Linked DNA regions of Oreochromis niloticus. The main gene of each other region encodes a partner of the protein of the gene in region 4 in a complex. Links are inferred from orthologs where the notes say so. Each region holds a gene or a part of one and is shown on either strand. Other genes may lie near its edges. The genes, in order: sf3b2, sf3b4, sf3a2 and sf3b1.

Region 1 (8,018 bases), on a different chromosome or scaffold from region 4:
GTGGTTATCCAGCTCTGGGTCACGGGGTCAGAAGTCTGAGCAGAACACTCTCACCCCAGCCACCTCTTCCAGCTCTTACAGAGGGACTGGAGGTGTTCCCAAGCCAGCTGAGAAATGTAATCTCTCCAGCATGTCCTGGATCTGCCCCGGGGCCTGCTGATGGTAGAGGGTGCCCAAAACACCTCAACTTAGAGCGGTCCAGGAGGCAATGACATTCAGATGCCTGAACCACCTGGTGGAAGTGGTTCTATTCTGACCTCTCGTGAATGACTGAACTCCTCACCCCATCTCTAAGACTGAGCCGAGCCCGTCATTTCTTTGGTGTCATTCTTTCAGTCACTATCCACAAAATGTAACCACACGTGAGGGTGCCAACACACTGGTAAACTCATGGCCTTGCTTTCATATTCAGCTTCTCACAGCATCCACCATGCTGATTCATCTGTCACCCTCCCGCTCCACTCTCCCTTGTTTGTGAACTAGATACTAGATCAGGGGTGGGCAACTCCAGGGCTTAAGGGCCGGTGTCCTGCAGGTCTTAGATGTGTTCTTGATCTAGTCACAGCTGATTTAAATGGCTAAATTACCTCTTCTACATGTCTTGAAGTTTTCCAGAGGCCTGGTAATGAACTAATCATTTGATTCAGGTGTGTTGACCCAGCGTGATATCTAAAACCTGCAGGCACCGGCCCTTGAGGCCTGGAGTTGCCCACCCCTGCACTAGATACTTGAGGTAGCAACGTGTTCCCACACTGAATTGGCTTTTCCACCCTTTTCCAGCCGAGAAAATGTACGCAGCTCATTGAGAAAATATTTCAATTTAGAGTTCTTCATCCTCTTACCCTTTTCTGTTGCTCCAAAAGATCTTGTTCATCCATGACATGGGAATCACCCTGAGATAGCCACAAACAATAACAGCCAGTCAGACAAAACATGCTTTTTAAACTGTTTTCTGTGTAGTGCAGTTATTGCCGTGTTGTTATGAAGTTATAAAAAACATTTATCCTGTCAAATTGTGGTTTACGTTATGATCACATCTCAGAATGTTACTTTGTTTAATAAATGCAAAACAAATTGGCAAAAATGAGTCAAACAGTAAACTTTAGGTCCAGCTATCCTCACCTGCTTGGCTCTCTCCTCCTGCTGTAACAACATGGCTGCTCTATGCTGAGCCATCTTCAGCTGATCATCCTGTGTGAGGCCAGGTGGCAAAACAGAGTGGTCCATGCCCATGTGTATACCAGGTGGAGGGGGCCCACTAGGCATCATGCTCATAGCTGGGATCATACCCATACCAGGAGGCATGGGCGGCATGGGCATTGGGGGTATGGCAGGGATACCTGGCATCTAGAGAGAAGGAAATACAGGAGACTGTGATGTTAATGGGAAGCACGAAGGACTGAAGTGAAGTCACACTGAGACTGTGTGACTTTCTAGGTGAGATATTAAGGCGTTCAGTGAATTCTCGTTTTTGTTTTGGTGAAGTGTTTCTTAACACCATTCAACATAGTTCTACAAACACATGACAAAACATACTCAACTGTAACAAATTTGCAAGACTGAAAAGTTATGATTACATAAAAGCGACTTTCGGCTGCTCCCTTAAGGAGTTAAAACAGCAGGTAGCTCTGTGATATGTGATTCAGAAGAAGCCAATCCTGACAGAACCCCAAAGAGAATTGTGCCTCCTCCTACAACAGGATCTTTTGCTTTTTAAGCAAATGTGTTACACTCTGTAACAGCTTTAGTAACAGTTGCAGAGGAACCGAATGGCTTGTAAAAATGGGCCATACACCCCATATTATGGAAGATCCCCCACTGCAAGGAACCAGATTGAATGCCTTCTCCAAGTCTACAAAACACATGTAGACCTGATGGGCAAACTCACACACACAGCCTCAAATATGCTTGAGAGCTGGTCTAGTGCTCAAAAACTGCACAATCTAAACACGTAAATCAAAATATAGAAAACATTACATCGACACATTGTAATGTTTTTCACCATTGTATGCTGCAGTATTAAACAGACATCAGTGTTTTCCCTCTAATTTACCTGGGAGCCCATTTGTTTATCATCAGTAGGTTTGCTGAGAAGAATCCCAGTCTGTGGAGGGACACATGTAAAAAACACAAACCAGAACAGTTTCTTTGATTTCAATGAAAAGGAGAAGAGGTTCGAGAAATAGATGAATAGTTTGGATATACTATTAACTTCTGCCCAGACTTTATTCATTACTACTCTAGCGTAGCGTGAAAGGTCATCAATAGTTACAAAAAGCACCATCATTCCAATCAGCTGCACGTTGACTGAATAAAACCGAATCCAAATGCATTTACCTGCATCATGTAGCCCTTCAGTCTGTCAATCAACTCCTCTCTGGGACCTAAAGAGGAGAAAATGAATCGGAAACGGCTGTTAAACAACGCTGATATCACTTTAGGCGTGTAAAATGTGCACCAATAATGTGCCAGAAAAACTCAGAACTCATTTTGAAGTTAACGAGTTACAGAAAAGTAGGCTAATGTTGACCCCTCCATATCAAGTTAGCAAAGCAGCTAAACCGCTGAACTAGTTACAGAGGTAATACGAAGGAAAAAACCTAGCCAAACGCTCTTAGTTTTACCCAACATGAATCACAAGAGTTAAAATGTCACTTACATGATTAATTAGTGCATGAAATTTACTTAACAGAGTGTAAACATAACTCAGGCCTAGCTTAAACTCCTTGCAACGGAAGCGTTGCGTTTTAATGCTACTAGCTTAAGTTAGCAACGGACTAGCTGCCGATAGCCTGTGATAAGGCGTAGTGCTCTACGCGGGTGTTTTTCTTACCCATGTTGGGTACTCCAAGCTCTGCCAGCTTGCCCTGAAGCTCCGGGATGCTCCATGTATTCAGAGCTGCAATAGCACTCCCCAAATCGGACGGGAGAGAGTCGGTGCCCGGCGGTCCGTCGGATGCCATGTTGAGGTTAGCTCAATGGAACAACGGCGGCAGCGGAGGACACGCGAGAGCTGGGGAAACACGCAATGCATGACGGGACGTGAAGTCTGAAGAGAGATTTTTTTTTAATTAAATGCACTGCTACTGCAACATTCAGTCAGATCAAGTACTTTCAAAATATACATTCCCAATAGGACAAAACATAAAATGGGACAAAAATCATATTCTTCAGCTGCGTCCAATGCATTGTGCGGAATAAAAGGCATTCCTTTCAGACACATCACACAACCGAGTCACCCTGTGTTTGAACTTTGGCCATCAGGTAAAAAGATACAGACTAATACAATCCCACACAAACAGACGCTAATCTGTGCCCCCAATCACCCCCCTCACCCCCCATACACTGTGATAGTTTACACTGTTTACAACTTCAGTACGATCTTATTAATTTATTTTCACTATTTGTTCTTTTCTGATGGGCATAAACGCGCTACTAACTGGAGTCGCTAGATGTCACCGTTGGCTGCTTAGACTTGAAATCCTTTAAATGTTGCCGTTAGAAGAATAAAGAACTTCCCTATTTTTACATTTTATAGCTTACAAGTCTACTGACCTTTTAAAGTAGGTATAAAATAGAAATACTGTGCGTAACTAAACTTCAAATGGAGTCTAGCACTTGGTAAATGTGTCCTTTTTAGTTAGGCTCAGTATTTGTAAAACCATAGAAAGGGATTTTTATCTTTTAAAGGGCAGCATAATGCATATAAACGCGCACTACCATAATGAACCACAGCATCAAGTAAAATCTGCTGCAAACAAAGAGCACTACATGAGAGAACAGCGCACGAATCCCTCCCTTTCAGTGTAGTTTTATGACTTGCGGGCACTGCGCAGTCGCATTGGAACGAGGGCACACATAGCGGCAGCAGGGCGTTTCTTCTGTATAGAGAAGAGGGGAGGGTACAAGGAAGGGTACATACTAAACATGGAACGGAAAGCATGTTGTGAAGTTGCATGTTGAATTTCCGTAACAAACTTTTTTTTTTCAGAGGAAACGCATTGCAAGGTAAATATGAGATTCATCCTTCAACATCACTTTACATCAGCAGTTTAGTGTCGGGGCGCAGGGAAGTGCACTGTGCAAAACGCGTTTGTCCTCCTGGTCTGAACTTTTTTTTTTTTTTAAGAGCAGAACTGGAAGTTTGTGAGTTGTTGTTTAGTTTAGTTTGTAAAGCCGGAACAAACTACAGTCAAACACGAGTCTGGCCCTGGTTTCACGAGAGTAATAACCAAGAAATATTACTAGCCCACATTAGTGTGCTGTTGATTCCGCAAAATCTGCTTTTCCTGTGTTAATCTTTATTAATTTTTTTTTTTTCACCGTGACTGATGGAAGTGAAGGGATAGGAAATTCGTCAAACAGCTGTTCGTGTTGCTCATTGTTTATTTCTTTCATTTCATTTTTTTCCCCGGGACCACACCTATCTATCTGTCATAGGAGCTTTTGCTTATCTGCGTGAGCCATGCGCCCAACTTAAAGTTTTATTAAGAGCAAAATCTGCTGGAGCTGAGGCGCATGCTCTAACGAGTATTCTCTAATTGTAGCCCAGTGTTTCTAAAGGCTGCTTGTTTTCCCTGCAGACTTTGATGAGAAAAATGACTCTCACACAGAAGTCAGCATGTTCCCTGCAGCGGTCACTGTGTGTGTGTGTGTGTGTGTGTGTGTGTGATCTCTCTGCTGGTCTATTTTCTCCAAACACTTTGGATATTTTATCACACAGTAAACTGTGTTGGAACATGAACCCCTGCATGCAGAAATACACCACAGGCGCTCAGAAGGCTTACTCATGCCACAAACTCTTGACTCCACCCTCCCAAAGGCAACACTTATTTACTATCAGCATGCATTTAATCAGCCCAAGTCGTGAGGAGGAAACTGGACTCAGACAGTCATCGGCAGAAAAGCATTAGTCACACATAGTTGATGATTGCAGTGCTTTCACAGCCTTTGCATGGCTGCACAACCCCTATGTTAAAGGAAACATCCTGCTGCTGTGCCAAAACAAATAAATAAAAGAGCTGGGTTATAGGTTGGATGAAAGTGCACATTTTCAGTTTTCTTGTGATTATACTAAGTGTTGCATTGCTAGACGATACGGTAGCACATTCTCTTGTGCTACCACCCACATTGAGGGGGAGGCTAAGCGCGTGTGTGTGTTGGGATGTGGCGTGAGGGTATGCAGGCTGCATGTATTTCTCATGTGAGGGGAAGTAAAATATTCATTAGAGTCAGATTGAACTGTTGTTGGGTAAAATGTGCCCGATGGCAGCCAGCAGAGGTAAAAACCACACAACTGAGGTTTTAACAGAACACGTTATGATCCTTTGTTGTTGGTTTAAGTAATGGGGCCATGGGTGTCTTGTCATAAAACTAACTTAGAGTGACATGCATATTGAAAGCGTATGAGTAGTTGTTTGTGGTTTGCAAGTATTTCATGGTAATGGGTGTGTTTTGTGAGGGGCAGTGTTTTTTTTCCTCACAGAGCAGTCACCTGACACACTTCTGCCTACAGTCAGTAGCTCCTCCCGTTCTAGGAAAAGTTAAGTTATAGGAGTGCTCAATCATTTCATTCAGGTGACAATGCGACTACGTTAACAGTGGGGAAAAAAAGATGTAGAAATCAGGTGTAACTCCTCCTTTCCGCCACATTTGGCACATCCCTCGTAGGAGGTTGACTATAAAGCTTGTACAGAAGGGTCTGTCTGGACAGGTTCCTGGGATCAAACTAGAAGGTGCAGTTTAGAGGAGAGGTAAGAAACAAACACATGGGCCTGACATGAATCTGAAAACTTTCATTTTTAACCAGACTTTTGTTAGGGTTAGGGTTAGACTCAGCAGTGAGGGGAAGAACAGGGACAATTTTATTAATGGTAATAAAGGGATAAACATGGTCAGCAGGATGGATCCATGCTTTCATATTTTTGCCGTATTCTGACAGTAACGTTCTAATGTTGTTGCTAAAATTGAGTCTCATTAGAGCAGAAAATTTCCGATCATCTATTGTCCAAATCTGCAAATCCTGTGCGAACTGTAGCCTCAGTTTCTTGTCCTTAGCTGATGGGAGTGTCACACTGATGTAGCCCGTCTGCTTGTTGTGTTTGTGTTGTGTGTTTAGAGACGCTCTTCTGTTCACTTTGGTTATAAAGAGCAGTAATTTGAGTTACTGTTGGCTTCCGATCACCTCGAAGCAGTCTGACATTTCCACTTTGACTTCTGACATCAAGAAGATTTTCACCAGAGAACTGCCCCTCGCCAAAATTTACTCCGTTTTGGCTCACGCTGTGTAAACTGTAGAGATGGCTGTGTGGGGAAATCCCAGCAGATTAGCAGTTTCTGAAATACTCAGACCAGCCTGTTTGACAACAACCGTGCCACATTCAAAGTCACTTAAATCACATTTCTTCCTCATTTTGATGCTCAGTTTGATTTCCAGCAGGTCGTGTTGACCATGACTAAATACCTGAATACACTAAGTTGGTGCCATGTGATTGGCTAATTAGATATTTGCATTAACACACAGTTTAACAGGTGTAACTCTAGAGGCCACTTCACTAAAGGTATTTACATGTCCACATTTAATTTGTACATACATTTATATAATAAAGAAAAATAGTGTTGGCACTTGTAGTGATGCTAATGCTAATATGTGGTACAGATGCTAAATAGCTCTTTATAAAGAATGCAGGAGGAAGCAACAGTAGTTGTTACAGCGGTGGCAAAAGTGCCTTTGTTATTGTGAGTAATAATGCTTGTGGTAAGAAATATAATGGCAGCAATAGTTGTGGGTGCAGCCATTAATCAGCGCTTCCAGCTTTGCTAGCTGTAGCTTTAGGGGTCTATTAGCAGAAATAATGTGTAGTACTCATGTACATGATCCTAATGTAGTTTCATCATGCTAGCATGTGCAAAGACAAGTCTTTGTGTTGTGTAATTTAACAGATGAGAAACCTGCTGTCGCAGCTGCATGCTCAGTTTTTGGCTCTCTTAGCAGCAACATTCTTCACACAGTCAAATGGGCCATCTTTGTGGGTGTGGTTCACTGTTAGCAGGAGGAGGAAACTCTTACATGGCCCCACTGCTACACAAGCCAGTGAAAGCCACATTCTTTTCTGTTTCTGCTGTGACGGACACCTGTGGACTGAAAACAGGAAGTGCGTATCTTTATGTGCATATCTGAGGTGAGGGAGTGAAAAAAAAAGCTGACAGAGTTGAAAGAAGATAAAAATAAACGCCTTCCACTCTGTGTTTGATGGAAAAGACGCAGACTCAAAGCAAAACAGTGAGACTAACTCAGTCCAAAGCTCCAGTTCTGTCTGTGGTGGCACTAATGATAGTTTATGCTTCCTCATCCCAGCCTCTGCTTAATTAAAGCGTCACACAGAGAGCTCGTGCTTGTTCTTTGCCTCATGCAACCTTTATCGTAATTCACACAAAACCACACACGCATCCTCCTTTGTTAATGTGCTTTTCTGATTAAACATTGACTTTAAATGTAGTTCTCACTTACACTGTGCACACATTCAGTGCACCACAGTAAAAGTTGGCACAGATGTGCCATGTGTGTTAGGCTTTTCTAAGAATGCATGCGTGGTTGACTTCAAAGAAACAAGGAGACCTCGTTTCACATGGAGGGTGTTCACGGCCTGTGCTTTTGTTCTCTGATGTATGTGTAGATATTGGTATGTACAGACTTGTATCTCACTGGATAACTTTTTTACTCTTGTGCTCAGTTCCTCACTTTCAGCTTCTTTTTTGTGCAGGGTTTGGCCACTGCTGTGATAAGGACAGGCTGTGATCCTGCACGGTGGGAACTTGCCAAAAAAAGAACAGACGAGGACTAGTGTTATCTGGAATTGGATCTTTTGCACTGAGGAAGACGTCTCTGCTGTGACAAACTTGGGATTTATTTTAGCTCCTCCGTTTTTGATTGCAATCAAAGCATCCAGCGAGAGTGCAACCACATGCACCACAAGCAAGCAGCAGCCTAGCCTCATCAGTGCTTAATAGCGTCTTAA
Region 2 (7,940 bases), on a different chromosome or scaffold from region 4:
ATACCAGAAGCAGAAAAAAACATGTTTTAAGAAAGCAATTAAGTTAAAATATGATTGTTTGCTTGCAGGACACCAGGAGAGATGAGTCCTCCGTCACAGATGGTGTGGTCAGTGAAGATGGTCGCCTGCAAGTTCAAGCTCATTGCATCTCCAACCATCAACCACTGCCACTGTACTTAAGGGAAGTTAAAGACTTTCTTCTGCACCTACATTTGGATCACCTTGATCCATGACAGTCATTCAGGCAGTAATGCCTGGACTAGAAACAAGCATCCTTAAAATAATACAACATTCCAGCTCATGTGTTGGAATGGAAAACAAATGTGTTGTTTAAATTAGAGACTGCACTTGTGACAGAACAACAAATATTTTATTTTGATTATATAAGTAATGTAAGTACAAAACAAACTTGTGGTAGGCCTAAACTTATTTTCAGAATAATTACATCTGAGACTTTGTTTCATTGTAAGATTATAACAGCGATGGCAATATAATTGTTTGTTGTTCAGCAGAACAGTGTCCATTTTTGGCTGTTATACTTTGTTGTGTTTGAAAATAAAAGTTGGGCTGATTTTAACATCATTACAAAAAGTGTTGTTAATTATTTTTAATCATATTCAGGTTACCACAAATTGTTTTTTCATTTAGTTGAACTTGAAATGTTTGTTAGGTAAACAATTACTATTGTACAGTCAGAAATATCAAGTTATTGTTAATACTGCAGACTTGCAATGTCTAAGTTGTCCTAACAGTCATCTTAAGTAAGCTTTACTTATTTTTTTTGAGGCAACGAGTTTCCATAATTTTTTTGAGTTCTGGGAACTAAAAAAAGGCTGTACAGTGTACTCAAAATGAGTAAGTTGCCCTAACTTGGTCATCTGATGTAAACTTGATCCAATCTTTTTGAGTTCTGGGAACAAATGAGCTTGTACAGAATACTCAAAATAAATAAGTTATCCTAACTTAGTCATTTTTAGCTAAGCTTTACTCAATTTTTTTGAGGCAACGAGTTTCCATAATTTTTTTGAGTTCTGGGAACTAATTAGATTTTACAGTGTAATGTGAAAAGAGATTAAAACTCATGAGGAACAAATTTTATTCTTAGACCACTTCAGGTTGATTACTTCTTGTTCCTGCTCCTGGAAGTAGGTCAAGTTGTACCAGACACCCAAATTCATCTTGTAAGCTAATCACTTAAAATCACCACCTATTAAATTCTTATTAATGGAAACAAGATTTTTCCACATTACCTGATGAACGGTGCCTGAAATGTTGTGTAACACACCGCAGTAAAACAATAAAACAACTTCCATTTGCTCTTACCTGGAATGGCCATCGCAGCTCCCAGTGTGGTCAGGACCGGCGTTGGAGCCGTTGGCGGTGGAGGAGCATCTGCAAACAGCTGGTGAGGCCTGTCTGCCTGGGAGAGTGGATTCTGAGCGGCCAGGAGTCGCTCTGCGGCCGAGCCGTGACGCTCTCCTTTGGAATCTTTCTTGAAGGCGTACGACACTGTGATGGGCCTGTTGCAGAGGTACTGGCCGTTCATGGCCTCAATGGCAGCATCGGATGCATCGAAGCTGGCAAAATTGATGAAAGCATAACCCTTCGAGTTGCCGGTGTCTGGATCTCTCATGATCTTTGGCGTCTGGAGGATCACACCAAAGGCACTGAACGTGTCGTAGAGCAGTTTCTCATCAATCTCTGGGTCCAGGTTACCGATGAAGATGTTAGCACCGACATCCAGGTTTTTGTTGTGTGCAGAAGCTTTATTAACCCTGATCGGTTTGCCATAGAGCTTTATCATATTCATGATTTTGATGGCATAGTCAGCATCCTCTTCACTGAGGAACTCCACAAAGCCATAGCCTGAGAAAATAGCAAAAACAGTTAGCTGAGCTTGTTTTTGGTGATCCTTCAAAACACGTGCCAAAAAGGTGATCTGATTATTTACCTTGATGTTGGCCTGTGACTCTGTCTTTGGGCATGTGTGTGTTGACCACAGGACCAGCCTGCAGGAAAAGCTCCCATAGTAACGGCTCAGACACTTTCTCATCCAAACCACCAACATATACAGTGGCATCTGAAACATGAAGAGAGAATAAACCTCATAATGATCAGTGCATCATCACAGGTCATCAATCTCTTTTTTGTGGACACATGTAAAAGTCAATAGAGATACTTCAAGAATAGAAAAAATATATAATATTTGGAAATAAATTACTTAATCAGTGAGATCCAGTCCTTTGTGTCCTTTGGAAGCCCTGCTAATATAATTCAGCTGGAAGATGTGTACAGATAACTATGCGTTGTGAAACTACCGGATAAAAGATTTTAAAATTAGATACTTGCTTTTTCTTAAAGTTCCTTTATTGCCTCTCACACTCTCCTCATATTTAATATACGTGTACAATATTTATTATGCAAACTCAAACGTTTAGTGTTTACATCTAAAATACCGGTATCTAAAATCCTATATACCCACATCAAGAAACAGTCCCCGTCTAAAATCAGCACGATAAGAAACAAAGAAGTTTAATATGTTTAACTTGACCGCCGAGTGAAGCTACAAGCTATGTTGTTAGCTTCCTCGGCTACTTGTAGTTGTTGGTCAACTAGACGTTAAGTCTGCTGCTAATTTGCTCGCAACAATCACACTTCAAAACAACCCCAAACCAACGCTGAACTCTGGCTTATATATAAGTGACAAGTAAAAGGATGAAAAAATCTGAATGAAAAGCAAAATCAGCGACATGCTAAGCTAGCGACAACTCAATGTTTCCATGTGATCCGCCGGTTGTTTATCACAAACTGCTGTCTAAACGAGGCAGTCAGTAAGTAAATCTGAGCCGGTTCCGGTGAAATGTACCAGCACTTTTATGAATGAGGAGTGCAAATAAACAAAACAGAGTTTAATGATGAGTTTACCTTGGTTTCTTTCTGAAATTGGTCCCGCTGCCATGTTGAATGACCAACGCAGGGGGAGCGATGCACAATGAAACCCCGCCTCTTCCGATGCTGTGTAGCGGAAGTATAAAATAAAAATTCAATTTAATTTAATTTAATTTAATTTTTTCTGGTATGATATTAAATGTCGGATTTTAAAGAACATAATGTGAAAAACGAGTTCATTCCAGCTTGAATTGAATTTGTTTTATTTTTGTTTTAATTGCTTCCGGACACAATTTACCAAACAAAAGTGTAAAAATTGACAATATTATAAATGCAGTGGATTTCCTTATTACTGAAACAACTAGTCTCACGTTTCAATAAGACATAACTAGAGAAAAAATCCAATCAACTTACTATTATTTTATTTTATTTTATTTTATTTTTATTTAATAATAACAAACATAATTAATTTGTTTCTCAAACATAGTCCAGGTACTGAGTAGCTGATTTGTGGGTAGGTAGTCAGTGGGGTTGTAGTACTGTGTGCAGCCAGCACACAGTAAGGTAGCATTTCCTTGATGCTAGTATGGACAACTGTCTGGATCCCCTGCGATCCTCTTGGCTCTAAGTCTGCATCATTTCATTTATATGTCACCCAGATTTAGGAGATTGAACTCGATGGTTCTCTTGATTTAAAACAACCCCCCTGAGAACCAAGCAACCTAGACAAGAGTTTCAAGTCCTTTGATCATCTGAGGTAATAGAGGCAATTGGTCTATTACAGTTGTTTTTACTTTGATAACTTTTGTGGGCTCTGAAAGAGGAAAAATAAATTCACCAGTATTGCTCTGTAATGTTAATTGTGTTTGGTTTTGATCAGAAACAGTGCTACGATGCCTAATTTAGACTGTGGGTGGGATATATCTGTTATGCCTTCTGGTGGCATTTGCAAGTTACTGCATAATTTAAAAAAAATTAAAGTGAATGAAATTAGTGTTTTTATACTCTAAAAATCTGGAATATGTCTTTTTATTAATTTGGAATATTAAATTATTACCAGTGTGTGTGTGTGTGTGTGTGTGTGTGGCCTTGATTTTCAGTCACTGAAAACAAGTGGCTCGACACAGTGCCATTTGTAACAGCAAATTTATTACATATACATATAAATCTACTAAAAGTATAAACATGGAATACAAAATCTTCATAGAAAATACAAACAGTAAGGACCTCGAGAAACACTCTTATAAAACAATACTGTATAGAATATGAAACATATAAAACCAGAACTTAATCAACACATCATGCATCAAAGCAAAAAAAATGAAAAAACAAAACAAAAACATGCAGAGCCAAAACTGTTTTTTAGGAAACAAATAGCAAAAAACAAACATACGGTTCAAAAAACCTTCAATAATATTGATAACAAAGAAAGATCAAAGGCATTTTTTACAGAAGGAGCCTTGAGATTAATGGCTTGTGGCTATAAAAACAAACAAACCAAAAAACCAACCCAGATGTTGAGCATCTAAATTGAAACAAACTGCCTCAGCCTCCTTCCCGTTAAGCTGTTCATTAAAACACTGCTTGAGATTTCCTCATTAATCACATTTCCTCATTAATCTTAATTGAGTCAAAGAAGGATAAAATCACTGAAAGTGTTTCTGCATATGAAATCCTGGGAATCTGTTTAGTACCAAGTTTAAAATTTACTGATTTGAAATTTACACATTTGAAAAAGAGAAAATACTAACCAGGACATATAAAGTTGACTTTTTCAGTCAATTTTAAATTTGCATTATTCATTAAAGAGAACTGCAAAGTCAGCATTTTTATATTTGCGCCACACACATATGCTGCAAAGTGGGCACAAAGAAAGAAAACAAAAACAAAACCAGTATATAATGTTTATAAATTTATACCAAAGGTAATAACATTAAATACATCCTTCACAATCTAACGGCATGTAACATATTGAGGAAATGATTTGATAAAAACACTCTGCAGGTACTGGAAGTATTACCCAGCACAGACGCCACTTCAGACTGTAATTAAAAGATGGACGTAGCCACCATGTCATCGCCCACTGGTTTGGAAGCCTTGCATTTGGCATTCTGGACTTTTTTGATACCAGACATAACAAACAAGTGGTGAGAAACTGGGACTGTTGTGGAGGGCCGGATCAATAAGCTTATGAAGAGTGAAAAATGAATACTGAGCAGAAAGTAGTTCAGCTTATTGATCCGGCCCTCCACAACAGTCCCAGTCTAGCACACACCGTATTTTATCATAGTCAACACCAGCTCATAATATACCAACAGACATCATGCTGTGTGTTAAAAGGGACTTTTAAAAGGGACCACAATGACATAAGGAAAGTATTGACTGAGGTCAGTCCTTCCAGAGGAGTTGACAATTATAAAGAATGCAGGTTGAAGGCACTTTTGCACTGGCTTCACTTTTCAGACTACGGAAGCTTGTTTGCTGGAAAAACAATTTTAAAAATCGCCATCCGTAATTTGAAATTTCAAGTTAGGTTGAAATTTAGCTAGCTCTGCCAATCAGAAAGCTCTGTGAAGGTAGATCAATTCCTTGTCATGAGCTGTCTAACATTTCGACATGAACACGTTGATTCCACACCTTTTATCCATTTCTGCAAAGAGGCATTCAACGTTTGCTATACCTTGGTAGCTCACAAGCTTCTGTATTAGACAGAGAAGCTATGTCCATCTTTTATATACAGTCTGTGATTCAGACCAATGACGTAACATTGGTCAGATTTTGTTACCTTTGGGGCTGAGTGTGGGAACTTGTTTACATCCCTTTTCAGTCTTTATGCTAATCTATGGTGAGGCGGCTTTATTAAGCTTCATATTAACCAGACCGCCCTGCGTGTAACGTCAATCAAATTCTCAGAGTAAATTTCCCCCAACTATTCTTTGTAACAGTAAGAAATTAACTACATGTGTAAAGATGACTGTTCAAACATTGCTAGCTACCATTTTCATAAAGGCACAAAGACTCCAGAGATGAGTTATAGAAACTTCCTGCACTTTTTCTTTATTTGTTCTTTCTTTATATTTCGTGTAATCGAGTTCTGCTGCTCACAATCCAGCATTCAGCAGCAAGAACGAGCCCTCCTGCTGTCTGACTTTCATTACATCCAAAAGAGCCGTATCACATCAATTAAAACTTGCGTGGGGTCTTTTTAATGCTGCTTGTTAAAACGCCTTTATCCCTACAACGTATAAAAATGCATTTTATAAAGACGAACAAATATAAAGTTATGACATTTACGGTAAAAAAGGGTAATAAATGCCTGTTATATTACATTTTTTTGGCATGCAGACATTACAACGCTGCCAAAACCCAATTTCTCCTTCCAGTATCTCAAAAAAAACCTTAGACCACAGAAGCTGGCACTGTTCTGACTACAATGACTCAAAACTGATGGTTCAGCTTTCAAAAAAAAAAGAAAAAAAAAAGCCCAACTCATTCTCTGGCCTCCATTTTTTAACTGCTGAGACCCTGACCTACATTTAAGTCATAACAAACACTCACTTTGTTTGAACTCTACTAGCTGACCAACACAATCTGCATCACAAGAGCAGATTTGTAATTTTTTTAAGTCGTGTTGCTTTGCAGGTCCTTTTTGCTGATAGCGCATTAAAATGATACATTCGGCTAGTGTCATCGTCGCCAAGCAAGCGCCGAAGCTTTAAAAAAACGCCTTTGCAACAAAAGCTGAAGTAAAACGGCATAGTGGTGGTTTAATATTTGATCTTTTTTTTAAACCTGAGCTGCTGTCAGAGCATCAATTACCTGCTGACATGTTTCTTCTTTTGCAAATTACCCACAAATTATTATTACATGAGTCAATAAGTGTATTTCTGTGCTTACTGGAAGTCTAGTATTATTTGAGGCTGCTTCCCATAATAAACCTGTAGGAGCAGGTTGCACATCCATTACAGAAAACCGGTGATATTAGCTGGGATCTTTTATCCCCTTCATTCATATCTTGCTGAGTGGGTGACCTCTGTTCCTGTGCTTTATTCATGAACAAACACAGGCTTCTTGCGTCATCAATTTTGGCATCTTCCCATCCCGAATACTACAACCAACCAAAACAAACCGAAGCCGAGAAGAAACACACGAGCTACACCTCATTAGCGTTTGGTCTGATGGGTCATTTTATGCCCCGTACATTCACTGATCCATAAAGGCTTTGTCTCCATAGGTCTACTTTGAGTAAGTACAGTATGAAATAATGAAAACAAAACATGTAAATCCCAGTCACATTGAATGCCGAGCACTTTTACAGGCATCTAGAAAAAAAAAAAGCACTGTTATCCTGTAATTACTAGGCACAAAGAGGTAACGGGCTATAGCGGCTAGTATTTGTTTTATGGACAAGATGTGCATACTGTAAGTCAAGGCTTGATTACCTGGTACGCGAAACGAAACAAAACCTAAAACGTTCTGAGAAGTCACCTATGAAGTGATCAATACTGTTACCAGGAATCCTACGGAGTGCGAAGGCATGTTTCCATATCGGACGGTTGGTTTAGTGTGACGGCAGAGTGGCGGTGTTGGCTGCACTGAGCTGACCCACAGCTAACATGAGGATGTCCTTCTTCTCTTTGTAAAAACGCAGTTCTCTGCCCGCCAGCCTGGCGTCCTCTAGTTCCCGCTCTGTCGTGGCCAGCTCCTGCGCAATGGTGCCCGCTACGCTCTGTTCTCGGTTCACCCAGTCGGCGGCCATCTGAGTGCGCATGTCATCATCCAGAGCCCGATGGGAGTAGTGAGCCAGCACCTCCTGCAAGTTCAGCCAGAAAGAGTCAGAAGATGTGATAGTGGGAAACAGCATTCCCAATCAGATATTCCTCCAGCATCAGATTCTGATGCTGAACTTAATAAGACTTCATCACTGTCTATAAACAAACCAGCCAAGAGGGTAAATGTTAAGTAATAAGACATAAAATTTAAAATTATGTCTGATGGCAAGTACTGTGGTACAGTGTCTTCCTCCACCCCTCAATTCTTTATATTTTCGG
Region 3 (7,994 bases), on a different chromosome or scaffold from region 4:
TTATTAGCTAATGTAAGGCCCTCTGGAGGGGGTGGCCTCATTGGCATGGGGGGCATGGGCATCTGTGGGGGCATCTGAGGGGCTCCTGGGCCACCAGGCGGGAGAGGAGGGACGGGCATTCCCCCTGGAGGCGGAGGGGGCAGAGACTCGTTTGATGGGTGATCTCCACTCATAAGGGGAGGAGGACGCTTCACAGTGGCAGCAGGTGCTGGACCGCTCGACTGGGTAACAGGTTTCTCCATTTTGAAGTGGAACTGTAGGAAAAACTGGATAGAAAAACAAAAAAAGAACAATTAAAGACATTTTTGGAAAACTAATATACAAGTTCCACTAGTTTAAACTTGTATATCACAGAAACTTTTTACAAGGATCTTTAAGATGAAGAAATAAACATATAGAACAAATATTAAGTTCACTTTATTGACTCACTGTTCCTATCAACTGCTATTTGTGCATAACAGCTTGAAAAAGTTAGAACTATAAACAAGTTCAAGAGACCATTTTACCTTCATTCACCCACGGGCTGACATTCACCCACATGTGTTTACTAATTAGATTAGGTTGCATGTAAATGAGGTAAACAATGATTCAGAGCTCTCTCTCACTCTGTGATACATTATTGTCTTCTCATACGGAAAGACGGGGAAAAATTCCCCAAGGTGCGCATCTTATCAGACAGAGTTTTTCTACACAAAAAAAGCAGCTAAATCTACACCTCTGCTTTTCTGTTTTTGACACACAGTGTGCCCACTTTGCTTCACCCCTCCCATTGGTTCTGGCAACTGGACCTAATAACTCTACTGGCAGGCACTCTGTAACATAGCTGGTACCTGTTTAGTTTCTTTGTTCCAGTGGGTCCAGAAGCGGTTTTCTGCTTTATCAATTTCTCTGCTGGGTACCTAAAACAGCAAACATCTTGTTATTACAGGAGTGAAGGAAAAATGACAAAGAAAAAAAACATAAGGGGAAGAGAAAAGTGCAGGTCTCACCTTGAAAGCAATGGTCTCATATGGTTCAGCAGCAAAAAGCAGGTACTGCCAGCGACGATCGGGAGGCTCAATGCGCTGTTCGTAAGCGGACATGAAGCGATGCCTGGGTCCAATTCCTTCAGCGATCTCTGGATAGTCAATCTGATGGGCCAAGAAAAGAAGGTCAGTAACACATGGCCTTTACTGTTGTGGTACGAAACTTTGCAGGTTAGAGCATGAGGTTATGATTTGTTCCTGTGACCCAGTTTCAGTGTAAAGCTCCTTTCGCCAACTGACTAACAAGATTGAGTTTGCCACATTTATGCAGAACTCACCAGATTATCCAAAGAATAAGTGTGCATTTTGCTTTGGTTTGAAGCACACAAATAATAACTTATTTACCCGGCTTCAAAAGGGTACTGGATTATATGCATTCTTTCAAAATATACAAACCTGGAAAAGTAAAGATTGCTGTCCCGTCTCTGGATCCCTCTGTTTGGTCACTGTGAATAATTAATAAAAATTAAAAAAAAAAGATTAATTTTTTTGACAATGTATTTTGTAGAGAAACTAGTATTAAAAACCAAACTGTGACTGCCATATAAAATGCCAGAGCTTGCCTACCTTTGTATCCTGGTCGACCAATTTTGACAAATTTCTTGACCTCAACTTTCACTTTGGCTGGAGCTGGTTGAGCAGGAGCTTCTTTTGCTTCTTTGGCTGCCCTCCGTGCTCTGAAAAATGTATGTAAACAGTTTCCAGCAACTTTAATTAAATCAGAACATAAAGTAACAGCTCTTGCACTTCTGTGTTGTAGCACAGATAACTTATGGACTTACAGATTGGTCTGGTGTTTCTTTCCTTGTGTGTGAGCCAAGTAGCTTCCCTGAAATACAGAGAGACATTTTTGATTTTTCTTTTCAAATAAGACACCCAGATGACAAGAAATAAAAACAAATTCAGTGAACAGAGAAATGTCTCATTAGGTGTCCCTCACCTCATTGTTGTGAAGTGTCAGACAAAGTTTGCACTCGTATGATCCTAAATGGTTCTTCATAAAGTAGGGGTCTTTGTTGATATCAATGGTCTCCAAGGCCAACTGACGTAACCGTTCTCGCCTGTCACGGTTACTCTCAGAGGCAGACGCCACCCCTCCGCTCCCCGTCTTCCCTCCAGCTCGATGCTGGAAATCCATTTTTGTAAGGTTTTGGAGTCAAACAGTCACACGAATGTGGACAGTTACTCCAAATAGATTCCCCTGATTACCTGGTTAAAAATAAAACAATAAGTACTGCCAGTGAAGGTCGACATTAATAACCCTGCACTCCAGGGCTGTAGCACAACAACAGCATCATGTGTAGATTGGCATTATTACTTGTGTTTTAGCTAAGGCTCTAACCTGGACACATTTTTATTGCTCAAACCTACATGGGTCATACAACCTGTTTTAAAAGCAGCTCGTCATTACAATCCCCTCTATACGAAGATTCCCAATGCTAACTTCCTTACAAAGAGTCAACATGAACACTGCGGAGTAAGGCCCAAACAGCGGATTTTAGAGGACCAAGTTAAGTTATCTGTGGCAATTTACCAGCGTACAAAAAAAATTCTTCCCATTATTACAAAAGAAATACATTCTGCGAATGATCCCAACAACATCTAGCTAGCTGTAGCATGTTAGCATACAAAAGCCGCTAAATGCGCTAGCAATTTTAATGCTAAGCTAATGGTGCTGCCAACTAATAATGAAAAGCTTTTAACAAATACAGATGATTAAAGTGAATATTAAAAATGCAAAATCACCACATCCGTTAGCCACAAAATTAAACATTTTAGGAGACTACAATCAGATTACTTTATCAAAACACTCACCAGCTCAACGACAGCGACACGCTCACCTGATTTGTTCTGCGCATGCGCTTCAGTAGATTCTTTTTCCCGGGTTTTGGTGGTTTGTAAAAAACCCTCTGGTGTGTTACTGCCACCTGCTGGGCTGGATCTCCAGCCAACACGACGGCTGGGCCTATGAGGGGGGACTTCTTGTTCTTAAATTTCTGATTGTTTCACAGCAGCAGACACAGGAGGTAAAAATTAATTAATTTAAAAAGATAAACTGCTCAGTGGTTCATTTAGAAATTCTGGCTTTTTTTCCTAATTCATTTTCAGTAGAAACACAATTCTAAAACATAAGTTTTATAGTTTTGCATTTAAAAACAATTATTTCATTGTAGTTGACAGTTTGTTAGTTTCGGTTTAGTTTTCAGGTAAGCTGTGGTGCTAAGGGGCCATTCTCCGCTGACCTCTAGTATTAGAAAGACATTACAAATACATTTGTAATACCAGCAGAGAATCAGAATCAGAATACTTTAATAATCCTTAACAAAATTATGTGGGTTTCAGTTGCTCCAAGCCAATAACAGTAACAGACTAAAGTAATGAAATAATACAATATATTACAAAGTTTACAAATGTAAGAAATAGCACTAATATAGACACATGTTCAATTATAAATATCAAGAATATTACAGAGAACTGCTGCCCACTGGATTTCTTCTTTTTTTTTGGACGAATCTCTGTAAAACGCTATAGATCCTTGGGCAGGAAAATCCCCATAGACCATGCTAGGGCTCTTCGATATAACGATATATATCGGATGACGATATAAAAACGTCTATCGTTTAATTTTACGCTATCGTTTGTTTCATGGTGTCGCAAAATAAACTGTTTACGGCAATATTTTTTCATTATTTTGATGGTCACTGTAGTGGCTATATTTATTTCCTAAAGTTCTCTCTTTCTCTTATATTTAATATAACCACACTACAGACGGACAAGCGCTTGTTTTTATGCTTGTCGTTAGCAACAACGACGGTAAAACCACCTCGTGTCCGCTTGTTTATTTTCCACATAAACCTTTCACAATAAAGCTCAAGATCCTGTTGAGACTTTTCAAAATAAACTGAATCACGTGAAAGATGCAGAGTATTTACGGATGAGAAGCAAAAATGAGCCATCAGGTGCTAAAAAATAAACCTTAGACTCAAACGTTAGAACAGGCTTTTCCCCGCAGCACGCTGTGTAATAAATACTCACAAAGAAAACGGCGGCCATTACAACCTATGTCTAAAAATGTATCGTTTCATGCATCAGTTAAAACACTCGACTCCAGGTACCCGACGCCCAGCTGGAAACATTTCACGCAAGTCGAGCTGCTCGACATTCACAGAATTTACAGAAAATGTTACATTTTTGTGATTTATATCGTTATCGGACGATAGATGTCTTAATATCGGGATATGAGATTTTGGTCATATCGCACAGCCCTAGACCATGCCACATTCATAGTCTATTAAATCGCCTTTTCCCCCACTCTAATGCTCGGTTTCAACTTCTGCAGTTGATCTTGAACATGCCTACATGCTTACATGATTACATATTTACTTTAATGAACAAAGTGGCCTATGAGTGTACCTTAGTACGCTAGTTAGTGCAAACCAAACGGAAAATGTTTAGGTTAACCAGACTGAAGCTGGGGCCTCTGTTTCCGGATAAGAAACATCTAAATGCTGACTCTTGCACAGAACAAAGGAGCCATTTTTGACCTGCAGAGGGCAGTAACGCGCCTGACCAAGAAGAGGAAGAAGACAACCTCGGCAGAGAGGAGTGTCATTACTAGAGGTGTGTGAGTGTGGCATGAAGTCCAGAGCTGTTGTTTTCAGTTGACCCACAGAAATGATCAAACGCAGTCCGACAGGTTTCGGGGACGTTAGATAACGAAGCAGCGACGTGGACTCAGCGGTGTATACAATATAGTCCTTGCACCGTACTACCGTTAGCTAACTCCTGTGTTATGCTTTCGACTGGGGGTACGGGTCCTCTTTAGCATCCGTGTACCTGCGTGTGTCCGTCTGTCCAGCCTGTGAGTGTTTGTGTGTGTCCGCGATGCGTTTCAACGAGAAGGAGCTGGTGTTACTGAGCCGCCAGCCGTCGGAGAGAGCAGCTGAACTGGGGATGAGAGGTCCCAAGAAAGGAGATGGTAAGGACAGTCATTCAGACGCACTTCCGTTTCGTGTATTTGGGCACAGCAGCTAATGTCAGCATCAGATATTAGACATATCTCTCTCTGTATACTTCATGCGACAGCTGGGCTGCTTTGTGTTTGTTGTAGAGACGAGTTTGTCTGTCTAACTTCCCTTTTGTGGCCTTGCAGTTGTAAAGAAGAGGCTAGTGAAACTCGTCGTCAACTTCCTCTTTTATTTCCGGACTGATGAGGAAGAGGTCAGTATGCTTGTTGTCACAGCATTTTCTGTGATAAATTGAATACATTTGTTTCAAAAGGGGGGTCAAAATTAACTGAGTGTTTATTTGGCAGCCAATTGGAGCTTTGCTGCTGGAGCAGTGTAGGGTGGAAAGGGAGGACAGCCAGACTTTCTCTATTGGTAAGCTACAGCATCCTTTAGAGGTACAGTTAGGAGTGACTAAGTCTGTAAGTGACCGATTTGTTTTTGGTAGTTTTGCCTCTGTACACAACCCCAGTGGTTTTTATATCAAACAATGAACATGCCTTTGAAGCGCAGACTCCCAGCTTTTATTCAGGGGCTATAACAACAATGTCACGTTACCTGTTTAGGAGTTACAGCCATTTTTATAAAACAGTCTTTATTGCAGCCGCCTTCAGTTACTAGTTTTGTGTTATTGGGTTGAGATCAGGTGACCAACTTCAGTTGAAGACGATTCCTTTCTTTGGCTTAAAAATCTCTTGAGTTGCTTTTGCTCATATTTCTGTCAGCAGACACAGAGTGCAACTCCCGCCGAAGAGCAAGGGCTGTACTAAAACTGTTATATTTTATGATGTCTTTATTACAACATGCTGACATCAACCTGTTAATGGCATCATTGTGACATCATTGGGTGTCGTATTGAGACAATTGAAAGTGTGTTGTACCGCTCTCTCCATGTGCTTTCATATGATATATTACTCAATATGATTTCTTTAAAATGGTTTTCAAGGTCAACTTTGACCTTGGGTGCTAGTAATGAAGATAAAGACAATCCATTAAAAAAATTGTGGATGATATAAAGTTTACAGCTTTTTTTTCATATTCTGTGTGACTTTAACATTGACACAATTTTCACTAAAATTAAATCAACTCGAGCTGTTATTGGTATCTACCATCACACCAAATGTGAAAATTATATCATGAAAACCGTGGACACTAAACTGCTAACAAGCAGACAGACAAATGGTACCGATTACATACTTCCTCCCTTTGGAGGAAAAATAAACACTAGTGATCCGGTTCCACTGGCAGCCATATAATGCCCATGTATGACAGATAATGTGTGATGCCTCCGATCATGAGCTGTGTCTTTCCTTCTCTGTACTTTTCTCCTTCCATCATCCTGGTACAAGTTCATCTTGGTTTGATCTGAGCAGACTCTTTTAGATGTTTTCTGACAAAGTCTAATCTGGCCTTCCTTTTCTTGAGTGTAACCAGTGGTTTGCACCTTGTTGTAAACTCTCTGCATTTCCATTCATGAAGGTGTCTCTTCATTCTAGACTTATGTTGATTTGCTACCTTCACAACAGTGTTCTTGGCTCGATGTTGTTGGATGTTTTGGCGTTGTTTTTCCTAACCATGCAAATAATTCTGCAGTCAAGCACTTTAGTTGTCTTCTGTGGCCTTTAAGGCCTTTTGATGTTGCTGAGCTGGCCAGTGCATTTCTTCTTTTTTTTAAGAATGAACCAGATTGCTCATTTGGCTGTTCCTACAGTTGTTGTTGTCTCTCATTTAGGTTTATTTTGGTTATTCGGCCTCCTGCGCCTTCATCAACATCATCTGGAATCAACTGCATACTTTTTATCTGCTTATCTTGTCATCGAACAAGGAAACAGGACACACCTGGTCATGAAACTGGCAGTCAGTTGTTTGACTGTGTAAGAAATGGCTGTAATACCTAAACAGTCAGTTCATCACTTTTGTTAAATACATTGAGTTAAAGCTAAAGTCTGCACTTCTGTCATATTGTAATAGTTTGATGTAGAATGAACCGTGGTGGTATATAGAAGCAAAACTACAAAAACATATTGACCTAACTGTATATTTCACTCTGACTTATTTTCACTTTCTCACCTGCGCTCTGCTGTTTCTGTTGGTTTCCTTCATGTGTTTCTGATCTCTAATGCCCTGTATTTGCTGTAGCATTTCTGGATGAAGCAGAGAGGAAGTATGTGTTTGAATGTGATACTGAAGAGCAGTGTGCCGAGTGGATAGACTCCATTATCAAAGCAAGGTAGGACTGACTTTTCTTCTTTCTTATTCCAGGGAGCACAGAAGCTTACAGATACTTACAGCCGTCAATAAGTGATTAATAAATGGAGAAAAACTTAACTTTTAAACCAAATGTATTTTTTTGATCGGGTGTCAAATAATATCCCACAAAGGTCAGAACACACTCACTGTGTACTCCAATAGTTACACCTGTTAAACTGAGCTTTAAAGCAAATATTTAACCAGCCACGTGACAGAAACTCATTGGAGTTAGCCAAGTAAACACAGTCATGATGATCTGCTGAAGTTCAAACTAAGCATGGTGCCGGTAGTGATGGTCAAGACAAAAAAAGTAAAACCCTTAACCCCCACAGTGAGTAGTTTTGTTTTTTCTATTTGTTTAATTTGCTATATTACGTATTTAAAAACACAGAGCTGTACTGACTACATATGCTCATAAAGTCTAAAGGAAGAGCATTTTGTGTGTGTTTTCTAACTTAATAACCAAATAATGAAAAGCTGTGTTCTGCACAGCTGAATATGCTTACACATCTATGCCATTTGAACAGTGTGGGTAGAGCAAGTGACACCTCAGATAGTAACAGACTCACATGGGTGAAACTGTCACAAATGAATGATTTTGCTGTTTTCAGAGGCACAGTGTTAGAAATGTGACTGTTAAACGGCTTCAGTCTAATCCATAACAGCTCTGACATATTGTTTTAAAGCTTACTGGGAATGCATAATACTCCCA
Region 4 (6,933 bases):
AATCTGAAAAACACAAAGTTTGATCAACTCTGAACTGCTGTAGCTCAAAAATATGATATTCGGGACAGCCCTACTTGTAAGGCAGCGCTTTACGCTGAAGCCCAAGACAATTTGCACTTTGACAAGTCATGTTACTGCATCCAGATAACAGAGAAACTTGAGAGATTTATGAACTAAAATTATGCTTCTGGTTCAACTACCACCAGAGCATATTAATGATATTCCTCTTATATATTTTATATTCACCTATAAAGCTGTGCCCAGTGTGGTAAAGCACAGGACATGGGCAGCTAAATGAGCTAACCTTCATCCTCAACTTCTGTGACAAGCGGACACTGCACTTTCCCATCATAAATCACATTGGGTTGTTAACCCTTCGACTCACACACAACCCATCTGCGACCCATGTTTGTTAGGCAATAAACACCTAACCACCTCTCCCCCTGAAAAGCATGGTAACCCTATATTACCTTTAATGCATGCACCAAATTAAAATCCCAACAACACTGTCCCAAACTGCAATTATGGAAATGAATTGTGAGCCCACACTGACATTTGTTGGAAACAGTTGGAAATTAATAGTGGGAGAAAAACAGCGACACAAAATGTACATGGAGGAAAGGATTGACCACAGGGAAGGCATTGAGTCTGGGAGGCAAGCTATTGCATTGTGGTCGAAGGGTTGAACAGTAAAAACTATTGGTGTAAAAACAGAAAACAAAGAAAACAAAAAGAAAGAAGGGGAGGAGGCAAGGAACTTGGGAAGATGTAAAAAGGTCACAAAAGAGCAAAATTTACCATCTGCAAAGGGGTCGAGACGCTCAGGAGAGATGATCATCTGTCTGCGCCGAGCCTTGTATTCATCCTCCCGCTCTGCAATCTTCTGTGGACGATGCTCTGCAAATGGGTCGTACTGCAAAGATTAAGCACAAAACATGCGATGATTAGTAAAATAGGATTTTGTACAAGCCTGTTTTTTCATTAAAATTAGATCCCTGTTTTAACTGGAATTTAGCCCAAACAGTGAATGAACATACCTGTTCATCTGACTGAGGAATGGCATTAAGTATTGCCACCGGCGCGTGGTACCCTGGCTTCTTTTGTCCCAACAAGCTTGTTGACGTATCATCTTCATCATCCTGAGGTAAGAAAGAGAATAAATGAGTCTATTCAAATCTTGCCAAACTGGCAAGGTTCTCCTAGCTCAAATCCCCAAAACAAGCAGAGGGGAGCAGTCAAGCTCCTTACAAAACTGACAAAGGACAACCTGTGGCTCACAAAACAGCATTCTCGGAAGAAGCTGTGTTTGATTTGGAAAAGGAAAAAAAATAAAAATAAATAAATACTTGCCTCCTCTTGCTCATTGGCAGCAATGGAAGTGACGTATCCTGCAAAGCGACTGTCGCTGCCTTCATAGATCTCTGGGTCAAAAACGCCAGTGGAGATCAGGCCCACTCCCTGCTCTCCATCCTCCAGCAGGGAGGCCTTCATCCCCTGGATCTCTAGGATCTGGGCCTCGATATCTGTAGGGACACAAGGAAACATGGTGAAAAACCACCTGTATAGGTAAGCATGGATGACTGACATACACCCCGGTATCAGCAGTGGTGAATGGAATTGATTAATCTATAAATATTATATTTACTGAAATTTATCTGAGGCATGACTTCAGTTTGTGCTGGATAAGGGTGTAAAACCAGTGTGATAGAGCGTACTGTAAAATTTGATAACATGCCCATATATTTTTCCTTTTCCCCCCCTATTTAGTTCATCCCTTGGCACAGGGAAACAAAGGAATGCTTCATAAAAGGAAAAAAGAAGAAGAAAAAAGCCTTTAGCTCTTCATCATGGAATTTTTTGTACATTTAATCAGGAGGATCTTCAGCGTTTCTTAGCAAGGAGAAAAAACAGATGGGGTATTGTACTTGCAAACGATGCTCTCAAAGAGATTTACACGTTAAAAAATGCTTTAACCCCACACAGAGAATTGGACTGATTGGCAAAGACTAGCAAACGGGCCTTTATTTGCGCTTTCACGCCTTAAATCAAGCTCAAATACTTCCTTACACTCTGCCTGTTAATATCACCGTATGTGACTGTAGTTTTTGATGTAAACATGATCTGTGGTACCAAGACACTGGAACAGTCCTGCACTACAATTAGGTTTGTAAAGTTTATTTACTTTACTGTGAGGTTGCGTTAAACTTATGTATTTATTTTTATTCTATTTTGCAGTACAGGGCTTTATGAATGCACGCCTGTGAAAAGCGCTTTAAAAATAAACGTTACTTACATCATAATTACTGCTTTCACAAACAAAAACTGGGTCACGTAACTCTCAAAGTCATGTCCAAACAGTGCATTAGAATATTTTACAGAAAAGGGTTAACGATTTCCAATACTTGCTACAGAAAACGCCCTCGGTCATTTCCTTCAATATTCCTGCTAAACATCGATTATGAAGCTAATATCAGAGTCTGCTGCCGGACACCAATTGCTGTAGGCATGGTAAACGCTTGTTAGAGGTTGCTAATGCTAACTCGGTTAGCCACGAGAATCACTGAGACATTAAAGAATTACCATCACCTTGGATTACACAGTAACAACAACAAGTTATACTAGCTTAAAGGCGTATCGGACCAAGACAAAAAGCCCAAATGGCGCCCACTATTGCATGCAAGTGTGCAATAAGCTGAGAAAAATAGTCCATTCCAGCTAACAAGAAAGCTAAGCGGTAACCACCAGCGCCATTATCTAAAGCTCCGCGTTGCGTCGTATGAGGCCTGGTGCTTATCGCCTATTTCGCAAATAAACAGGAGCATTACCGTCAACAGAAATACCAGAAAATTTACCGCAATATTTACTGACACCATAAAGCAAAATACGTGGTAAAACAGAACATATTTATGGTAGTTTTAGCAGTAATTTACCTTCGTGCGTTTTGGCGATCTTCGCCATTTTGGTGGCGGTTGTTCGAGACTGAAACCGGATGTGACTTAATTCAGAGTTCCGTGTCTTTCCAGCTGTTCTCAGACCAGTTTTCAATCGCTCAGTAGTTATATTGCTAGTAGTAGGATTAGTATTAGACGTAGTGTATTGACATACTTATAAAAGTTGTAGATACAGTGAAGCAATTAGTATGTGACTTTCCGTCCATGTATGATGTATAATGTCCACTAGCCTAAAACCCCATTAAAAAATCTCAATTGACGCAGCCCTCCAATTGACCTTTCTCATCTTATTTTATTCAGATTTCCCAGATGTTTCTGCTAGAAGCAGCACTCTGATCTTTAATGACAGACTTTTATCAATTGAAATGGAGAATGTCGCCTGACAGAAATCAGTAATATCTCCTTGCACAGCTCCTTCTTTGTCTCCTGGAGTACATTAAAGCCTGTAACTGGGCTGCTTTGTAAAAACGTATACCAAAAAGCCTGTAATTTCACTATGCATGCCACAAACAGAAGTGAAAAGGATAATAAGACAGGTTTTGTTGTTTTGAAGACTTGTTTTTCACAGGGGCTATTCTGGCATGCAGCAGTAGCTAAACATAAGGCTTTTCTAACACCTGGTTCACAACCTTAACTTCAAGTCAAGGCTTTTAACCTCTCGCATTACTAATATCTGTGTTTACCTTTTATTTCATGTGAAACTGGCTTCTTTGAAAGAGATCTATGGTTGGTAAAGTTTCTTCCCCAAATGTCTGTACAAAACACCTGTTATTATAGTTTATGTCCCTTTCTCATAAATGCCCAGCTGTTATTTCTTAGATTTTCTTGTGCTCCTATTGGCTAGAGGACCTATATCTGAAACACTGCAGGGGTGGCTGTAGCTCACGAGGTATAACAGATCATCCACAAAGGCTAGTAGTTAGATCCCTGGCTACATGGCAAATATCCTTAGGCAAGATACTGAACACAGAGTTGCTCTCAGATGCATGGAAGTATGACTCTGTGTGAATGTTGGAAAGCACAGAAAAAAGTGCTTGTATGAATGACACATGCTGTATAAAGCGCTTTGAGTTTGAGTGCTCCAGCAGAGTAGAAAAGCTATATAGAGCAGTCCATCTACTACAGACAATACTTGTGGAGCTAATTGTGAAGCTTTTTTCTTTTCACAGAAAATGAAATTTCAGGACCCAGCCTTGCATTTTGGTTATTAGAAAAGAAAGCTACATGACACTAGATATGTGAGTGACGAGTGTTTATAACAGAAGGATGAGGAATATAGCTGTGGGGAAAGTGACTGATTAGATTTAAAACAGTTGAGTTTTACCTGGTGACTCAGCAGGAAGATGCCAGAAGATGCATGTCGTTGCAGGAAAAACTTGTACCACCAGCTGTGAGGTACTTGACACAGAAGTCAAAGTTTGAATAATAATAATGCCGCCAAAGTGTCCACAAACAACCCTGACTGGGCAGAAATGTTTATACAATTGACAGTGTTTCTGTGTTCAACCTAAACCCCCAAAAAACTTCTTTTTTTTTTTTTAACTTTCATGAGCTTTACTAAAGTGTATGTTATAACATGTATTTTGGACAAGAACACCAGTGCCTATAGGCATATATCATTTCATTCAATATTTATTCATATATATAATAAATGTACCTTACACGTTAGTAAAACAAATATAATGTATCACGATAAGCAAAGAAACTTTCATAATTTACCCCTGAGTTGATGTATATGCAAACAGCTCCCCTTTCCTTTTTAAAAAGGTAAAAAAAAAAAAAAAGCACACAGACAGAAACCTGTTCACTTTCACTTTCAATGTCTTCCTTACTGCAAAGAATTTTAAATATTTCTTTCACTTTGTTATTCAAAAATAGTAGAAACTGTATTCTAACAAATTTGCCCAACAGAGCAGGAATAAATGACAACAAAGAAGGTGTAGTGTAGTCTACAGGTCAACACGTTGACCTATTGATAGTTTTGATATGCAAAGACAAACAGGTTTCACCCGGTTTTCTCGGCCGATAGAGCAACTCGAGCCAACAACTCGTGACTCTATGCGCGTGCGAGCTCGTGCACACGAACCTGAATACGTTGGCGTGACGAACGGCGGGACCGCCCAATAAAAACATTCGGTGGCCACAGATCGTCCAATGGCAAGCGGGTTAGGCCTGTTGAGGGTCGGGCCAAACTGCGCGTAGAGCTCCCTGTCAACTGGTTGATAGCGAGGGAGTGAACAAAGCCGTTAAAGAAGAAGAGAAGATGGCGAGATGCGGTCGGAACTTGAGAAAAGTAGCTGAGTGCATAAAACAGTTACCGTCCACAGCCAACCGGGATATCCAGAACAGAAGCAACGTTAGGTAAAGTGTTTGACTTTTTCAAGTTGTTGTCTGAAACGAGACGGCGTAAAATATGAAGACATACCTCTAAAACGAGCATTTGTACCAAAGTTACTCACTTTTGGTACGGGGTAGCTAAACACTGCGGCGGTGTACGATTCACGGCCCTGTTTAACTCAAGAATTCGTTAACTACATCTCTGTAGATGGTAGAAAGTAGTAAAATGAGGGTCGGGTAAAAGTAGTATTTGGTTTACCTGTGTAGAAATACTTATAGCAAATGTACTACAGTCACGATGTTGCTGTGATAAGCCGCATAGCACATTACACAATAATTTATATTCACTGAAACATTAAATTGTCGCACTTTCACGCATAGAAAAGTAAAGCTGATTTCAGTTTCTTTTACTCTATATGCATTCTCCTGTGGAGAGCAGCAGTCTTAGCGTAAACTACAAAAATGCACGATAATTTGTGTATTGATTATAAACCAGGCTCTTTAATTATTACTATGTTTGCGTAGTGTTTTTTTTCTTTTACGTTCCAACACTGCTGATAGCACAGCCAAGGTGAAGACATGGAAACCTTGAACTTTACATACTTAAACCCCACGATGAAGAAGATCGTAACGATTAGCATCGATTATCTGTGATTTGCAAAACAGTGTAGTAAAAACGACATGCAGGCACAGTCTGAAAATATTCCTAAAATCGTTAAGTTCCATGTGGTAAATGAAACCATCACCAGAACCTGTAGCAGCTTTTCAACAATTATTGTGTCACATGTGATGCATATATAATATTAATTTACTGTTTGTCAGTCATTATCTGTTTATACAACAGCCTCTCTTTAACCTCAAAAGCTGACTGCGTTAGAGTATATTATAAACCATGCAGATATGTTTAATACTCCTTATTGTCACTAAGCAGACAGTGTTTCAGATGATTAGTCTAGGTTCTTTTTTCTATTTCAGCTAGTTATCTCTTATATTGGTCTTAGTCCAGTCCCCAGTCCATTCTCTATATCTCAGCCATTTTATCTCCCACCCCCCTCCTTTAAGCCATCTTTCCTCTGATTGAACAGTGGGTGGGTGGGGTTTCTGTGCTCACAGCCAGAGCTGTGTGCCTGAGATGACCATAGTGAGGCTATCTGAAATTCTAAGTTTAGAGCAGTTTGAAGCCTTAGGTTTTCGGTCACACAGTGTACTTATACATACACCGACCTCATTATTTGAAAATTCGGTCATTTTTAGTATGAGCATCTGCTACTGTATGGCCTATATATTTACTCATCACAAGGTAACATTACTTGTTACCTTAGCCTAAACAACAGCACATTATCTGCTCCCTTAAAATTGAACAAGATAATGCTTTTATCTACATTTTCCTAAAGACGTGTTAAACAAATCCAAAGTGTGCTACTTTAATTAGTTTCTCAGTGTATTTGTATACTTCCATGAACTCATTGTCCAGCTGTCTGTTGTTTGGGTTTAATTCTGCTTTGCACCTTTGTGGAGTTTGAGATGTCTCATTCACCTTTTGCTCTGGGCCATTCTCAGCCTGTACCCAGGATACATTTAGAGGTCAGATGTATCATGTTTCAGATAGTAAAACAGGAGTGAATAGGTTCCTGTTTAGGGGCAG

What was found.
Region 1: sf3b1 (region 4) and sf3b2 share a complex: the UniProt entries of both Homo sapiens proteins name them as parts of the SF3B subcomplex of the 17S U2 SnRNP complex. The link is inferred for Oreochromis niloticus from reciprocal best matches to the Homo sapiens genes SF3B1 and SF3B2.
Region 2: sf3b1 (region 4) and sf3b4 share a complex: the UniProt entries of both Homo sapiens proteins name them as parts of the SF3B subcomplex of the 17S U2 SnRNP complex. The link is inferred for Oreochromis niloticus from reciprocal best matches to the Homo sapiens genes SF3B1 and SF3B4.
Region 3: sf3b1 (region 4) and sf3a2 share a complex: the UniProt entries of both Homo sapiens proteins name them as parts of the 17S U2 SnRNP complex. The link is inferred for Oreochromis niloticus from reciprocal best matches to the Homo sapiens genes SF3B1 and SF3A2.

What each region holds. Positions count from the first base shown.
Region 1 is NC_031967.2:24,041,312-24,049,329, forward strand, and holds the start of sf3b2 (splicing factor 3B subunit 2), read right to left. Parts: upstream 3,019-8,018; 5' UTR 2,964-3,018; coding exon 2,834-2,963; intron 2,385-2,833; coding exon 2,338-2,384; intron 2,105-2,337; coding exon 2,054-2,104; intron 1,348-2,053; coding exon 1,123-1,347; intron 894-1,122; coding exon 843-893; intron 1-842. UniProt on the Homo sapiens protein: Component of the 17S U2 SnRNP complex of the spliceosome, a large ribonucleoprotein complex that removes introns from transcribed pre-mRNAs.
Region 2 is NC_031985.2:19,772,816-19,780,755, forward strand, and holds the start of sf3b4 (splicing factor 3B subunit 4), read right to left. Parts: upstream 3,013-7,940; 5' UTR 2,960-3,012; coding exon 2,926-2,959; intron 2,081-2,925; coding exon 1,952-2,080; intron 1,867-1,951; coding exon 1,324-1,866; intron 1-1,323. Other genes in the region: lix1l (LIX1-like protein), read right to left, coding at 7,451-7,702. UniProt on the Homo sapiens protein: Component of the 17S U2 SnRNP complex of the spliceosome, a large ribonucleoprotein complex that removes introns from transcribed pre-mRNAs.
Region 3 is NC_031982.2:13,069,710-13,077,703, forward strand, and holds the start of sf3a2 (splicing factor 3A subunit 2), read right to left. Parts: upstream 3,009-7,994; 5' UTR 2,867-3,008; exon of another isoform or gene 2,841-2,866; intron 2,235-2,840; 5' UTR 2,164-2,234; coding exon 1,966-2,163; intron 1,855-1,965; coding exon 1,808-1,854; intron 1,703-1,807; coding exon 1,593-1,702; intron 1,472-1,592; coding exon 1,422-1,471; intron 1,131-1,421; coding exon 990-1,130; intron 900-989; coding exon 831-899; intron 267-830; coding exon 1-266. Other genes in the region: plekhj1 (pleckstrin homology domain-containing family J member 1), read left to right, coding at 4,532-4,646, 4,852-5,004, 5,179-5,246, 5,341-5,407, 7,172-7,262. UniProt on the Homo sapiens protein: Component of the 17S U2 SnRNP complex of the spliceosome, a large ribonucleoprotein complex that removes introns from transcribed pre-mRNAs.
Region 4 is NC_031987.2:32,303,557-32,310,489, forward strand, and holds the start of sf3b1 (splicing factor 3B subunit 1), read right to left. Parts: upstream 3,019-6,933; 5' UTR 2,959-3,018; coding exon 2,931-2,958; intron 1,524-2,930; coding exon 1,351-1,523; intron 1,140-1,350; coding exon 1,038-1,139; intron 914-1,037; coding exon 799-913; intron 474-798; exon of another isoform or gene 1-473. Other genes in the region: coq10b (coenzyme Q-binding protein COQ10 homolog B, mitochondrial), read left to right, coding at 5,215-5,312. UniProt on the Homo sapiens protein: Component of the 17S U2 SnRNP complex of the spliceosome, a large ribonucleoprotein complex that removes introns from transcribed pre-mRNAs.